2 linked regions of the Neurospora crassa OR74A genome follow. The protein of the gene in region 2 purifies or fractionates together with the protein of the main gene of each other region. This does not show direct contact. Links are inferred from orthologs where the notes say so. Each region holds a gene or a part of one and is shown on either strand. Other genes may lie near its edges.

What was found. The genes of interacting proteins can lie anywhere in the genome.
Region 1: the proteins of NCU03380 (region 2) and NCU00925 purify together in Saccharomyces cerevisiae (affinity purification with mass spectrometry; 8 studies listed by BioGRID, with this or other methods). This does not show direct contact. The link is inferred for Neurospora crassa OR74A from reciprocal best matches to the Saccharomyces cerevisiae genes SPB4 and NOP7.

Annotation. Positions count from the first base shown.
Region 1 is NC_026501.1:6,701,997-6,712,088, forward strand, and holds NCU00925 (pescadillo), read right to left. Parts: upstream 6,416-10,092; 5' UTR 6,288-6,415; coding exon 4,296-6,287; 3' UTR 4,185-4,295; downstream 1-4,184. Other genes in the region: NCU00927 (kinesin), read left to right, coding at 1-221; NCU00926 (hypothetical protein), read right to left, coding at 1,438-3,504, 3,554-3,817; gpit-2 (glycosylphosphatidylinositol transamidase 2), read left to right, coding at 6,837-6,990, 7,073-8,202; tob37 (topogenesis of outer membrane beta barrel protein 37), read right to left, coding at 9,010-10,092. UniProt on the Saccharomyces cerevisiae protein: Component of the NOP7 complex, which is required for maturation of the 25S and 5.8S ribosomal RNAs and formation of the 60S ribosome.
Region 2 is NC_026502.1:904,071-908,080, reverse strand, and holds NCU03380 (ATP-dependent rRNA helicase spb-4), read right to left. Parts: upstream 2,801-4,010; 5' UTR 2,724-2,800; coding exon 2,493-2,723; intron 2,429-2,492; coding exon 695-2,428; 3' UTR 384-694; downstream 1-383. UniProt on the Saccharomyces cerevisiae protein: ATP-binding RNA helicase involved in the biogenesis of 60S ribosomal subunits. Binds 90S pre-ribosomal particles and dissociates from pre-60S ribosomal particles after processing of 27SB pre-rRNA.

The sequences.
Region 1 (10,092 bases), on a different chromosome or scaffold from region 2:
GTTTCCACGCCAACAATACGGACCACACTGAAGAGAGTGCGACGCAAGTACCACTCTTTAGAAGAAGTAATCGGAGACAGTCACCTCGTGTATTAGCCAAGAAAAAGATAACGGGTCATGCTGGCGGGATCATCACGGAGGGCCTGGAAAACATGCCGGTGACGACAGATGCCAGTGTAGGCATTGCCGGGAACAGGAGGAAGACTCCACGGCTAGGTTGAGTTGGTTTCGGATCTAGTCTGTTGGTGGCCTCTCTAAGTTGTTTTGAGAGTTGGGTTAGGGAACCGGAGAAGTAAGGTCAACATCAGTGGGAAGAGGTGTTTTGGAGTTGCTTGGTCCATTAGGGAAGGATACTTTTCATCATTTTTATTTAACCAGGTTGTTTTGGTTGTTTGGCTGCTAAAAGAACATTCCCGATGACGGGACGGGGTGGTTGGTTTGGCTGTTGTCGCTTATGTTGTACTCTTTATCGAGCACTGATACCCTCATCATATATCAACTGGTTTCTCCTTCATTGACAGTTTTGTGGTGTCCACTTCATCGCAGTGGGTTGGTGGGTTAGGAGAATTAGTCGAACCTTGCTATACAGGTTGTTGTGCGTTCAACCTACTTTGTTCAACATCTTTGCGTCATGATAATGGTATCCATATCTCATTATCAGGATCTTGGAGCTACAGACATAAGCATGACAACTCTTCAGAACCTCACACTCAAAAGAGAGTCAGGAGGGCAAAGCAGAGATCCTCAAGAACCGATTCATAGTTCGAAGAGTCAGGGGAAGGTATTAAAAAATAAAAAAAAGGGAATGCCCACCTGAGCGAAGGTGGATATGCTACTGACTAGAGTGAGATTCGAACTCACGCCCTTTCGGACCACGGATTTCTCGAATTAAGGGTTTACCTTAACGTGGCGCCTTAGACCGCTCGGCCATCTAGCCTGATTAAGTAATTCACTAAATTCAGTGTCTTATGAACTACCTCTGAATTTTGGTCATAGGAAAGGAGGAGATGAGGGGAAATCATTGTTGGGTTGCGGGGAGTTAAATTAATTGGAGGCCGGGATGGGACGTATATCAAGATCTGGAACTGGTTGCAGTTGACTGAGGAGAAATGAAGTTGTGCCTCTTGGATGTTTGAGATGTCTTGAAGATTCGCGCTATTAGGATCCAAAGGAAGCTCAAGTTGGAGACACCCGCTTCACTCGCATTGCGTAAGAAGAAATAGAAGAATTACATTGAAACGTGTAAATCGAGGGAGGAAACAAATTTACTAAGATCGTACCCTGGGAAGGTTGCCTGACGCCTCAGAGAGATGGTAGTGGTAAGTGAGACCTTGGTATGGTAAAGAGCATCCGCAACAGTTTTCCATAACAGCAGTTTTCCCAGTTCAGATCTTGCTATCTCTTGAAATCTTCATGAGATATCGAGACTACTTTGTTTCAGAGGTCGAAATCATGTCCTCTAGTCTCATCATTCCCAAGCTTCATATCCACATCCGACCCATACTCCGGCCTCGTTTTCCCTCTCCCTCTTTCCCTCTCCCTCTGTATTAGATCCCCTCCTCTCCACCCCTTCCGCACCTTAATCGGCTGCAAAAACCCGTCCAAATGTATACCACCCTCCATCTCATCCATACTATCTTGATCATCCCTTCCCACCACAGAGCCTGCGGGAGAAGCAGGTGGACTCCGCCCATGGACAAGCTTCAAATGTCGATGCATATTCGCTCTTCTCCCAAACCCTTCCACAGCTCTCGCACACTCAGGGTACGGGCAGAAATACACATCCCCTCCGGCCGCCGGCGTGACCGACCGTCTCCTCACCCTAAGCCCGCCACCGAGTGCGGGTGTACCCGCCCTTTTAGCTCTGCTCCTGCTACGGGCCGGGCTTTCGCTTCTACCGCGTGCCCTTTCTGTTTCTGTTCCCGCTTCAGAAGCAGCTTCAACACCCTTCGTGACTTCCTCGCCTTCTTGCTGCTCATCATCGACATCAGGTGAAAACGTCCTCACAAGACTCGGCTGTCGACTAACCGTCCGTCTCTGCTCCAACGCAATATCAGTGGCGTCCACCTCCTCTTCAGAAGAGTCGGGGAGCGGGTCGCCGGGGTGGTAAATCTTCGTCTTGACACGCCTAGAGGAAGAAGAACAAAGGGTATGCATCGCCATCTCTTCCCCGAAAAGCGTAGCGCATCTCTGCGTCGCGCGAGCAATCACGCTCTGCGGAAACCCAGCCAGGGCAGCTGCCCCGAGGACGTCGCGCCAGTCGCGGAGACCCCAGCGTGCGACGCGGCCCATGCGGTCTTTTTCTTGGGCGGCGGTCAAGGCGGCGGTGCTGGTTACGCTTCTGCTTCTGCTTCTGCTTCTGCTTCTGGCCCTGTGCCTATTGGGACGTTCCGTTGTCTTCTTCTTGGAGGAGGGTAGTTGGTATGACCTTGGCGGCCCGCGGGCTTCGGCTTCAGAAGCTGTTTCGTCGGCGTCAGCGTCGGCGTCGTCGGTAGTATGAGAGGAGGAAGCCCGGGAGCGAAAGAAAGAGGGTATCCGCTTGTGCGTCTCGCGGGCGACGCGTTCAAGCATTTCCTGCTCGGTCTCGCCCTCGAGGGGAATGCGTAATTTTCTTTTACGCCCTCGCTTGCTGATTCCTCGCGGCGAATTTGATTTAGCCTCGGACGCTGTCGCTTCTGCGGAATGTGATGGGGAGCGCGCACGGGGTCTTCCCCTTAGTGTGCGCTGCTGCTGCTGCTGCTGCTGCTGCTGTCGATCAGGCTCTTCCGTTTCGGCGTCGTTGTCGTTATCCTCAGTGTCACTAGCAGAAGATTCGGATAGGTCGCGGAGACCGGCGACGCGGGCGTTGTGTAGTATTGTCAAGGTTTCGTCCAGCTTTGAGAGGATGCGCCGCGATGCGGGACGGAGCAGTTTGTAGGATCTGTCGTCATCGACTGATGGGCCAGGAATGTAGGTAGGCGTAGGAGCTCGAGGACGTCGACGTGAAGAGCTGGGGGTATACGAAGCAGAGCCCTCTTGTTTACTGCTCTCGTCTTGGGAGACCGGCTCACGTTTGACCGGGCTCGAGAGTGGTACGCTATACCGGGCCGACTCGTCGTTGCGCCGTGGCGGGCTGGATAGCACCTGACTGGATTCGGCATGGTGGTGATGGTCGTTGTCGCCCTTTTCTATCGAGTCCACAACGCCATCGTTCCTTTCGCCCATCGCGTGTATGGCGGAGTGATCATCCTCGTCGTCTTCTTCGGGGAAGCCTCTGCTTCGGAACTTTTCCTTGGCACATCGTAAAATTGTTGCCGAAATCTCTTCCTCTAGATTCCTGCTGGGGTAAGTCCGGACGGGCGGACGCAGCGTGAAAGCCTCGTGCTCGTCTGCGGTCCGCGGGAGGAGCTCATCATCAACCACCTCACCAGTCCTCAGTGGCCAAGCCGTCCATCGGTGGCTCGGAGCCCATTCATTCTCTCTGCGCTGTGAACCGTCTTCGTCTTCAGGCTGATCGTTGGTCGCCTGAGCAATTGTTAGCTTTTGCTTTTCTAAACTGACTCGGTAGACTCACTTCTTTGGTCTCCTGCCTTTTGGCTCGGGTTCGCAATGCGTGCGCGTTGTAGAGATGTGCTGACAAGTCTCGCCTGCGCAAGCCCTCTAACGCTTGGTAGGCCTTTCTTTCGTGCGCGGTGAATGTGAGCCATGTGGAGGGGGCCCCATTCCACCGATTGGGGCGGGTTTCGTGCAGTTCATCTGATGCGATGGAATTAATCTCTTCAGTGTCCTTATCCCAATCCTCGTCGCCGGAATCTTCTTGATTCAAGTGTGAAGACATTGCATGGCCCAGTTTAGTGGGTGCTCTTCCCGCGTTGGCAGGGTTGTTGAGTGCAAATTCTGGTGATCAATCACTAAGGACGGGAGTGACAAGAGATTGAAGGTCGAAGAACCGCACTGACGTACGAAAGCATCCCAGTAGTAGTACCACAGCAACAAGGATGGAGAAACTGATGAACCTCTGACTCCTCACTCAATTCTTTTACTTTGTACTCTCACCTTTCGTTGGTCCTATTTTCGGTTCGTTCCAACTTCTCTTGGGCGTTACGGTTTGGTTCGTAGCGACCCCTAACCCTCAGACGAAAGCCTCGTGGGCGCTCGTTTTCATGTCACGATTATTCACATTTGCATCAGTTCAGGACGACGAGTAGGATTCAAAACTTGTCGATTACACAAAAAGAAAAGAGAAAAATGAGCCTTTGGTATCCCATTTCAAAACATAAAGTGCTAAAAAATTACGCCTTGCCAGTGTTTTAACCTTACGCCTTCTGCGCCTTTTCCTTCTCCAGCTTTCTCCTCTTGGCGCGGAGCTTCTCGTCCTGAGCGCTCTTCTTGTTGTTGGTATACTGCATCTGCTCAAACAGCTTGCGCTTCTTCTTGCTCAGCATGCCCTTGGCGCGCTCCAGGTCCTCCGCCTCCTCGCGTGCCTTCTTTTCAAGAGCCTTGCGCTGTTCTAGCTTGGCTTTGGTCTTGGAGTCTACCTTTGTATTCTGCACCTTCTTGCCTTGGAGCTCGGCTTCTAGCTCAAGCTGACGCTGGAGGGTCTTGGACTCCTCCTCATCTTCCTCAGCATCCTCCTCCTCGGCCTCCTCGGCATCCTCCTCGTCACCCTCCTCCTCTTCTTCATCGTCCTCGGCCTCATCAACATCCATGTCGTTTTCGACATCGGAACCATCCTCAGCATTACCCTTCTCGGCATCCTCGAGGTCGGCTTCAATAGCCTCGGCCTCGGTTTGCTGAGCCTCAAGGGGCAGAGTAGGATCGTACTGGCCAGGGGCGGCCTTGACGAAGGGGCTAAGATGGGGAGGGAGAGCGGCGCCAGGAGCATAGAGCTCAGGGCTCTTGAGTTCCTCGTCGTTGACGCAGTCCCATACCCATTGGGGCTGGACATATATCCTGCCGGGGTATCTCTGGTTGGGTCCGACCTTCTGGGCCGTCTGATTGTCCTCGCCATCGCCATCCTCGTTGGTAGCGGCTTGTACGACTGGCCTGTCAATGATGTGATGGGTGATGGAGGGATCCGACTCGTCATTTGTGAAGGCACCCTCGCCGAGGACGGAATCCCAGCCTATCCTCTTGCAGCCAAAGGCACGAAGAATGAACTCGAGAGGCTGGCGGGGGGTCTCACGGGAGAGGTAGAATGTGAAGTTGGCGAACAGCTGCGAAGGGTCACTGCTGCTGTACGCCGGCTGAGGAAGAACATCACCACCAGGGGCAACTGGCTCGAACTTGTCGATGGAGTCTGTGGGCTTCTCCTCATCGTCGGCCTCGGCATCTTCCTCGGCAGTCTCGTCGCTCTTGGACTCGTCCTCCTTCAGTTGCTTGATAATCTTGTCAACCTCAGCCTGGACCTTGGGGTCAGGACCCTGCTGTTGTTCCTCCCCGTTTGTGACGGCCTTGGTCTCGCCCTGGGTGGCCATGTTGACACCCTCCAGAGAGAAAGCGCCGAGCTCAGCACCGTTCTCGTCCTTGAGCTGGTCGAACTTGGGAGGATACTTGAGGCCGATCGAGCTGTAAAGTCGGTAGTTGACGAATCCAAGAAGAGTCATGTAGAACTCGACGAAAGTGCCCATAATGCGGAAATCGACATCGCCGACGATCCTCTGGTTGAACTTGTAGGGAACGAGCCAGAGAATATCCTCGCCCTGGATGTTGGCCTGGTAGTAGATACCCTTGATCGACAGGAACGACTTGCGCAGGCTGTGGGAAACAATAAGGTAGTGTTGGAATTCGAGGCAGAGACGCTCGCAGCGGGCGATCATCTTGGCGGGAACCGCGCTCGTGGAAGGGAGGTTGGCGAAGAGGAAGAGCATGGACAAGCAGTCATCGAGATCGCGGAGCGCGTCGTTGAAAGTCGGGTAGCGCTCACGGATGACGTGGTTGAGAGTGTACCTGGGCTTGCCAGTGGCCTCGGGGCGGGCAGCATGGCGCTCGAAGCGGGCGGCATCCGAAACATCACCTCTGCCAAGAGCACGGGAGATCTTCTTCTCGAGCACCTTCTGGTCACGGAACTTTTGAAGAAGGGGCTCGTGGAGGAGGTACTGAATGTCCTTGGTGTAGTAGAAGGTGGTCGAGGCAGTGGCCGACTTGGAAACCTTCTTCTTGTTACGAGGCTCGCGCGGGTAGATACCCTTCCAGATGCAAAGCTTGCGGAAGTCGGGAAGGCTAAGCTGCAGCTTCTTCACAGCCTGTGTGCGGGTGATGTAGTTCTTGGCCGCGCCGGCCTGGCCCTTCTTCTTGATTTTTGGCATTTTGGGGTGTGGTGGTGGTGGTTGTGGTTGTTGGGTGTAGGTGGAAGAGTGAGAGAAGGAGAAGAGGACCAAGGATGGATCTCTTCAGTCTGCAGACTCGATCGTTATCGAAGCCAATTGTAGGTGGGGGCGCTCTGTGCACTTGCAATCAACTTTTTTTCTGACCCTCGCGGTCCTGAACTTTTTATGCCACTTCCCACCGCCTGAGCTGATCAAAGATAAGATAACGTAGCGGATGGAAAGACGGGAGGCATCAGATAGGCACAGATGAGGCTACTAGAATACATACTGGGCCCGTCTGGCCCAGATAGGTTCCCGCTCCCGTCTGGATTGGATTCCAGAACCCCTTGTCCCACAGGGACCCGCCAGCTGTGGAGGCCGGGCCAGCTGTCGGTCTGCTTTGGCGGGGACAGCGATTGACAAGGCGACCTAACGTGCTGGGCGCGACTCCTGTATAGCGCAACTGGACGGGCATGTCGTTAGAAGTAACTTGACCCTGGGACAAGTTCGACATCACAGCTCCCACCTCGTCGTATGGCGAATTGAACAATGAATGGCGGCAAGGTAACGTTGAGGAGGACGGCTGGCTTATACGCCGGTGCTGCCGTCCTGCGACTTGCCCTCTTTACTCTGTTCCCCGGTCTTCCAGACCTCCTGACTGGCCGTGTCGAGATCTCAACGCCAGTAACAAGCTTCAAGCGCCGTATGTTGTAGCTTTTGTTTTTCTCTTCGGCATTCGTCGCATCGTCTCGAGGAACACAGGTTTGCTAACTACCAAAATCTAGTCCAAGAAGGCCTCTTCCTGTATAACCATAACGTCTCTCCTTACGATGGCGGCGTCTACCACCAGGCGCCCCTCTTGCTGCCCATCTTCAACTTGCTCCCGAGCTTCGCGGCGTTTCCCATCTTCACGTACCTTCTCTACATCGCTATCGATATTCTGAGCGCCCATGCTCTTTTAAGGATTGCAGAGTCTGGCGAGGCCAGCTCGTCTGCGCGCTTCACCTCCCCGCGCCGTGACAAGCGTTGGAGTGGTGCCATCATTGCCGCGCTCTTCCTGTTCAACCCCTTCACCATCGCGACATGCATTGGGCGTTCGACCACCGTCTTCACGACCTGTGCCATTCTCCACGCCGTCGCCAATGCCATCTCCGGCAGACCCTTTCACGCCATGGTCGCCCTAGCCTTCGCATCATACCTCTCCATGTATCCGCTACTCCTCCTCCCGCCTCTCATTCTTCTTTGCTATGACAGGCAGAAGTTGCCCGCTACCGGAGCGCCCAATGCGTGGATCAAGTTTACCGCGACCATGGTTATGGATGCGTTTGGTGCTCTGGCAGTGCTTTTCCAAATGTCGTTCTTCCTGACCGGCTCATGGGAGTTCCTTAGTTCCACCTATGGTGTGCAACTTACACTGTCTGACCTGGCCCCCAATATCGGCCTGTGGTGGTACTTCTTTGTCGAGATGTTCGACTCGTTCCGTTCATTCTTCTTGGCCGTCTTTTGGCTGCATTTGTCGTCATATGTTGGCGGGTTGAGCGTGCGCCTTCGCCAGCAGCCGCTTGCGGTGATCACTCTGCTGCTGGGTATCTTCAGCATCTTCAAGCCATACCCTAGCATCGCGGATGCGTCGTTGTTCTTGGGCATGGTGCCGCTGTATAGACATGTCTTCCCGTTGCTGCGGTATTCGTTTGTCATTGCTGCCATTATTATTTACACGACCTTTCTCGGTCCTGCGTTCTACCATCTGTGGATCTATGCTGGTAGCGGAAACGCAAACTTCTTCTATGCTATCACGCTTGTTTGGGGCCTTGGACTGAGCTTGTTGGTCTGCGATCTCGCCTTTGCTGTCCTGAGGGATGAGTGGGAGGTTGAGCGACCCGAAATGGCCGGCAAGGAGATTCGTCAGATTTGAGAGGCCTACAACAAACATAAGGCAAATGTAATATAACAGTTTAGTACGTTTATTTACATCATTATCATCGAGTGTCAACGAAGGAAAGACTCATGGTCATCCTGTCACCGATTCCGTACTTGGTATATATCCAGACATCGACAACCAACTAGAGGCATCTCTCTGCTTCACAATCATTCTAGTTTGATCTCACTCCACATCATCTCGGCGCTTTCCGCACATATCCATCAATTCGTCACGTCTTCCAATGGTGCAAAAACGTCCCCTTCCCGCCTGTCCGCGTCACCCATGCCCTTTCAAGATTACCCCTTTATGCGTGATTCCCAGCGCACTGAAGTGTGAGGGCTGTTGGTGCAGTGATTAAGCACGCACGCAGCCTTCGAACTCATTCCTTCACTCGTACTCATTAAACCCACAGGGAACCGAAAGGCAAGTCCACATGCTAAGTGTAAAGTAAAGCCATGTTGAGATGGGACCAAAAGTGAAGGCCGCTGATAGAATGGAACATAGCCAGACAGATAATCCGGGGTTGTCAGCGGCGAACGAGAGAATCCAGAGAAAAACTCGCATGTTGGAAGAAGGCCTAGTGACTCTTGGGGTGATCACTCAATTACAATTGTTTATCTGCTAAATGGCATCAGTTGCGCATGAGCTTTACAATGCATCGTATGGGATCTTCTTTGCTGTAACCAACTTCACCCTGTATCGCTTTCCCATTGGGTATCCTCATCCGTTCTCGTATCATTCCAAGTTTCCATCATAGACACATATCATACACTCCCCCAAGGTTCTCTACCCTCAACGTCTTCATGCAAGACCAGCGAACATGGCTCCTGCCGCCCCAAAGCTGCCCAAGCCTACCAGTGGCCTATGCCACGTCTGTAACGGCGCGCCCAGCAACCCTCGGTATCGGTACCAGTAAATACCGAGGCCGGCAACGTTGATAGCCAGCAGAGTCAACCCGGCACCAGCCAGCAAGAGACTGCGTTCACTCTCACCAACGCTTCTCCTTACAACGAGCTGTGTCTCGGCAGAGTTCTCTTCAGCTACCCTTCTTTGCCTCAACGCCCACCACCTGCTCCATTCCCGTCCAAGCATTGGGATATCGTCAATTACGGCCCTCACAAACCGCCCAACGATACTGAGCGCCGAGTCGCAGGCACTGACAGCGGGATCACTCTCTCTATCCGCCCACGGCAGCACCTTGCCGCTGTCAGGGAACGTCTTTCTCCTGTATTCCAGCACAAACTTGCATAATCCGGCATACTTTTTCTGCAACACTTCCTTCAACCAAGGCCTCGGCACCTCAGGAAGCAGCATGAGCGCCAGGTAAGCAAACGCAAGACACTTGGTCTCCAGCGTCACCTTGATCCTTGCACCGCCCTCTTTAGCCTCCTCCTCCTCCTCCTCCTCCTCCTCCCCGTCCTCTTCTTCCAGGAAATCAACTTCCCCAAGCACATCAAACACCTCCGCCGCCAGCCCCTCCAACTTGATCCTCCTCTTCATCTCGGGACTCAACTGGCCCTTGACACCGCTATTCTGCCCGCCGACCGCCTTCCTCAGCGCCTTCGGGATCTGCACCCAACCCGCAGCCTCGCGCTCCCGCTCCTCCCTCTCCAGCCGCTCCATCTCCGCGTCCGTATCCAGGCTGCTCATACCCAGGTGCGCCGCGCGCGCGGCCATGGCGGCCCGCACGGCGAGCGGCTCCGTCCACGGTAAGGGGAACGGGAGAATGGCGCTGTAGGCGGGTCGAGTGGTTTCAGAGTAGTTGGCCGAGGAGACATAGAGGGACAGGGCAAGGAGCGGGGCGGCCGAGGAGGTCAGGAGGGCCTTGTAAGCTTGAGAGTCGGCGTATACGCGTGAGGGGAGGGTGGTGACGTCAGGGTGGTG
Region 2 (4,010 bases):
TCTTCGCCTGAATCACAGTCAAAGGCATACTGATGAATGAGAACATCGAATTTGGTTCCGGTACAATGCATGTTTTTCTCTGAACATGATGGTCCTTACAGCTCAGACAATAAAGATTCAATTAACTGCAAAACCTTGTCCCACTTCTAATCATGTTAACCCGGCGTGTGGTTGAGAGAACAAAACCGAACATGGACACTTCAACGTTATCCATCCTACTAGGGAAGGAAGGCCGTTGCAAGGCTGTGATATGCCTCCTTATGACTTGGAACCACGCCGTCCAGAGTCTATTAGGGATTATTTGGTTCAGGAAGGAGTTTGAAGATTGCCTAGAAGATAAAATCAAGACGCATGCATGCGAGCAAGAGTATACTGAAGGTGTGATGTAGTGGACTGAATACATTGGTTTGGTTTGTTCATACGAACACTTTGTTACCACAATGTCTCGAATTTCGAGAACATTTGTGATATCGATACTGTGTCTCCATTTGGGTGTTATGATAGATATTGTCTCAGGCAAAACAGCTGTACTTTTCGAGTACACCCATTATCATGATTACCATGAGGACTCATGGATACAGCATGCCAAGAACCAACAAAATTCCAATTCATCAAAAGGGTATATACGCCTCATACGCCTTTACGTCTTAGAAAATGAACCATTACCATCAACTCCCATTACCCAAGAAGCTACTCAATCATCAAACCCACCAAACTCTTCATCACTATCGTCCACCTTCTTCACCGGAGCCTTCGGCTTGGGTGGGTTCGCCGCAAGCGCAGCTGCCCTCTCCTCCGCCGCCTTGGCCTCGTTCCGTTTCCTCACCTCCTCAATCATCTGCTCCAGCTTGAGATGCTCCTCCTTCTCTTTCTCCGTCATCTCGCTGAATTTCTTGGCCTCCCTCTTTCTCCTCTTCTTCTCGCGCCTCTGCAGTTTCGTCTCCTCCTGTTCCGCCTTGCCGCTCCACGCCTCGTTCTTCTTGCGCTTGTCGCCCGTATTCTCTTCCTGTGCCCGCTTTGCCTTCTCCTCCTTCCACTTGGCCAGCTCTTCCTGACGCTTTTTCTCGCGCACCTTGTCCTTGAAAGGAATTTCTTCCGTGTTGATGCCCAGACCCAGAGAGCGGTCGATCTTGGCTTCGCGGACTTCGGGCATCTTGGGCAGCTCGAGAAGGCCGTAGCCCTTGGCTAGGTCGAGCCAGTCGAGGTCGGCGATGCGGAAGATGGAAGAAGCTTGGTGTTCGATGTAGGAGCGCGTCCAGGAAACGAAAGCGAGCTGGGCCATCTGGAAGATCTCGCGGTCGGCGAGGGCTTGCGATCGGAAGGCGGCGGAGACGCGCTCGACTTCATCAGGGGTGACGGAAATGGCGGGCTTCTCCAGGGGCGTGATGGGAGTTTGACGGACTTCAAGAAGCTGTACGTAGCCTTCCTCGCGACCCGGCTGGAGCAGAACGACGGCGAGACCCCGACGACCGGCACGGCCGGCACGACCGCAGCGGTGAATGAAAACCTTGGTGTCCGTGGGCGGGTCGTGCTGGATAACGAGGTCGACTTGGGGGATATCAAGACCGCGGGCGGCAAGATCGGTGGTGAGGAGGACCATGGGCGAGGTGGTGTTGACGAAACGCTCATAGTTCTTTTCGCGGACTTTAGGTTCGAGTTTGCCGTGCAGGGAGGTGACGGAAAAACCGGCGGGCAGGACGGCGCCGAGAATGCGGCTGAAGTACTTGACGGCCATGCATGAAGAGAAGAAGATGATGGATCGCTGGGGCCTGGGCTCGAGCTTTTCGAGGAGCTGGACAATTGCTGGCATTTTCTGGCTGGCTGGGGTAACAAGGTAGCTCATCTGTAGAGACATTGGTGTTTTCCTCTCTTGAATTATGCCACCGTCCTTCAGACTCTTCACTCTGACGGTGATCTTGTGTGGGTACAATAGACCAACTGTAATCAGCCTTTCAACGGCGTCACTGAGCGAAGCACTGAAAAGACCAGTACGGCGCTGCTTCGGAAGATATCCGAGAATGCGGTTGAGCTCGTTCGCGAAACCCATATCGAGAAGGCGATCGGCCTCATCCATAATGAGAACCTCAAATGTAGACGCGGGAGCCTTGACGTATGCGCTCGACAAGAGTTCGGCAAGACGGCCGGGAGTGCCAATTAGGAGATTCGGGGAAAGACGAAGGAATGTACCGAGATCCTCAGCAGCCTTGGTGGTGCCTCCGACAAGTAGTTGGGGGACAACGACAGGCTGGGTTGCTGTTGGGCGCTTCTCGTCGCTTTTGGCGTGGGAAATGGCTTCAGCGGAGGGTTCGTGAAACTTGACGAGGGAAACGAGGACATTGTAAATCTGGGTTGCAAGTTCGCGGGTGGGCGAGATGATAATGCCTTGGACATGGTTTCGCTTGGCTGGTTCTTCGCCGCGCAGGAGTTTCTGTTGCAGAATCGGTTAGCATATGATCATCCTGAGCTGGTAGACAGCAAGAGATCCGGCTTACCTCAACTACCGGAATCAAAAAGGCAAGTGTCTTTCCACTGCCTGTTACGGCCTCGACGACAACATCTTTATTTCCACGGAAGAGCTCAAGGCATGACTTTTGAACGGGAGTCGGCTGGGTAAAGCCCATGGAGGAGAGGTAGTCAAGAATCCATTGGGCGAGAGGAGGCGTGAGAGCGTCCCAAGACCTTGGAGGCTTCCGGACCTTAGTCTGTGGTTGGGTAGGCGCCATGTTAATTATGTGGTTGGCGGAGTATCGGGGCGTTGTAATCGATCCCTGAAGCTCTGCGTATTGCCCGTGGTGATAGCAGTGCGATGCTGTTGAAACAAAAATTGGCCTGGCGACCATCCAAACAATCCTTATCTTATCTGCCTATCGATAAAGCTAGCGTGAGCGTAACCTCGCAAGTTGCATACAGTACACAGCAGCCTTCACTTCTTTCGAATCCAATTTGATCGGTCCAAACCTAAAGATCTTCCCATTAGATTTCAGAAATTCGTTGGACAACTCACGACTTATACTAATTATATCCCAGATGTGCGCTCAAGCCGTTTTGTATCGTGAATATCAATAGACAGCTTTCGGATCTTCACGATCGTCTGTTGTTACTAGTGCAATTATCAGATATTGGAATGTGGGTCTCATCGAAGAACCCACGCAGCCACGGCAACCTGACAAAGGCTTGATCTTATTTGCTTACATGGTATAGGTAGTGTAATGCTACAACTGAAGGTGTCAATATTCAGCTCGACTAAGCTCCAGTGGCTCCCAAAATTGAAGTCTACGTCGTCTTCATCCAACCTTGTTTGACGACTGGCCGTCTGCTCAAGTCCATGATAGGCAAACATGCTAAGAACGCTTGAACCACTTTTACATGATGAGGAGATTGTGTACAAAGAAATCCCCATCAACCGAGATCGACCAAGGTGATGAACGTCAACGGTTGAGCAGAGTACAAAGTCTCTTTTCAACAAGGCACGGCAATATACTATGGTATAGGTATATCGAGCAACGCCTGGCATGAACTGAAAATGGCGGCATTCACGCCCAACCGTCTTCCTTCAGTTCAGTCTCAACTTCCTGTTGTCACATGCAAGGTCGCGTCGCTGTGTGCTGTTGCTGCTCTTGAAAGGCCACCACCCACCAATGTCATCACGCCTTGCCGCAATTGGGGTAACGGACCAGGGCAGTGAGCTGGGGAGCCCGGTGCAACCACCTGAAGCGCAACGCAGGACACGCGCCGGCTGATTCCCACTCGCACTCATGGCCGGGCATCCGCAACAGCCGAAATTTCTGTTCTTCACAAACACCGAACCACTGTCATTCGTCTATGATCGTCATCACTGGATCCTAAACCAAGTCCAGCCCAGGGTAACGTGCCACCTCAGCCACCGAGTACGGGTACAGTTTCTTTTTTTTCCTGCTTTGCACATCTTTTTTTCCTCTTGCTGTCAAGATACCCTTCTTTTTCCTGGACCTGAACCCTCCATATCCTATCGATTCGGCAGAAGAGTCGAA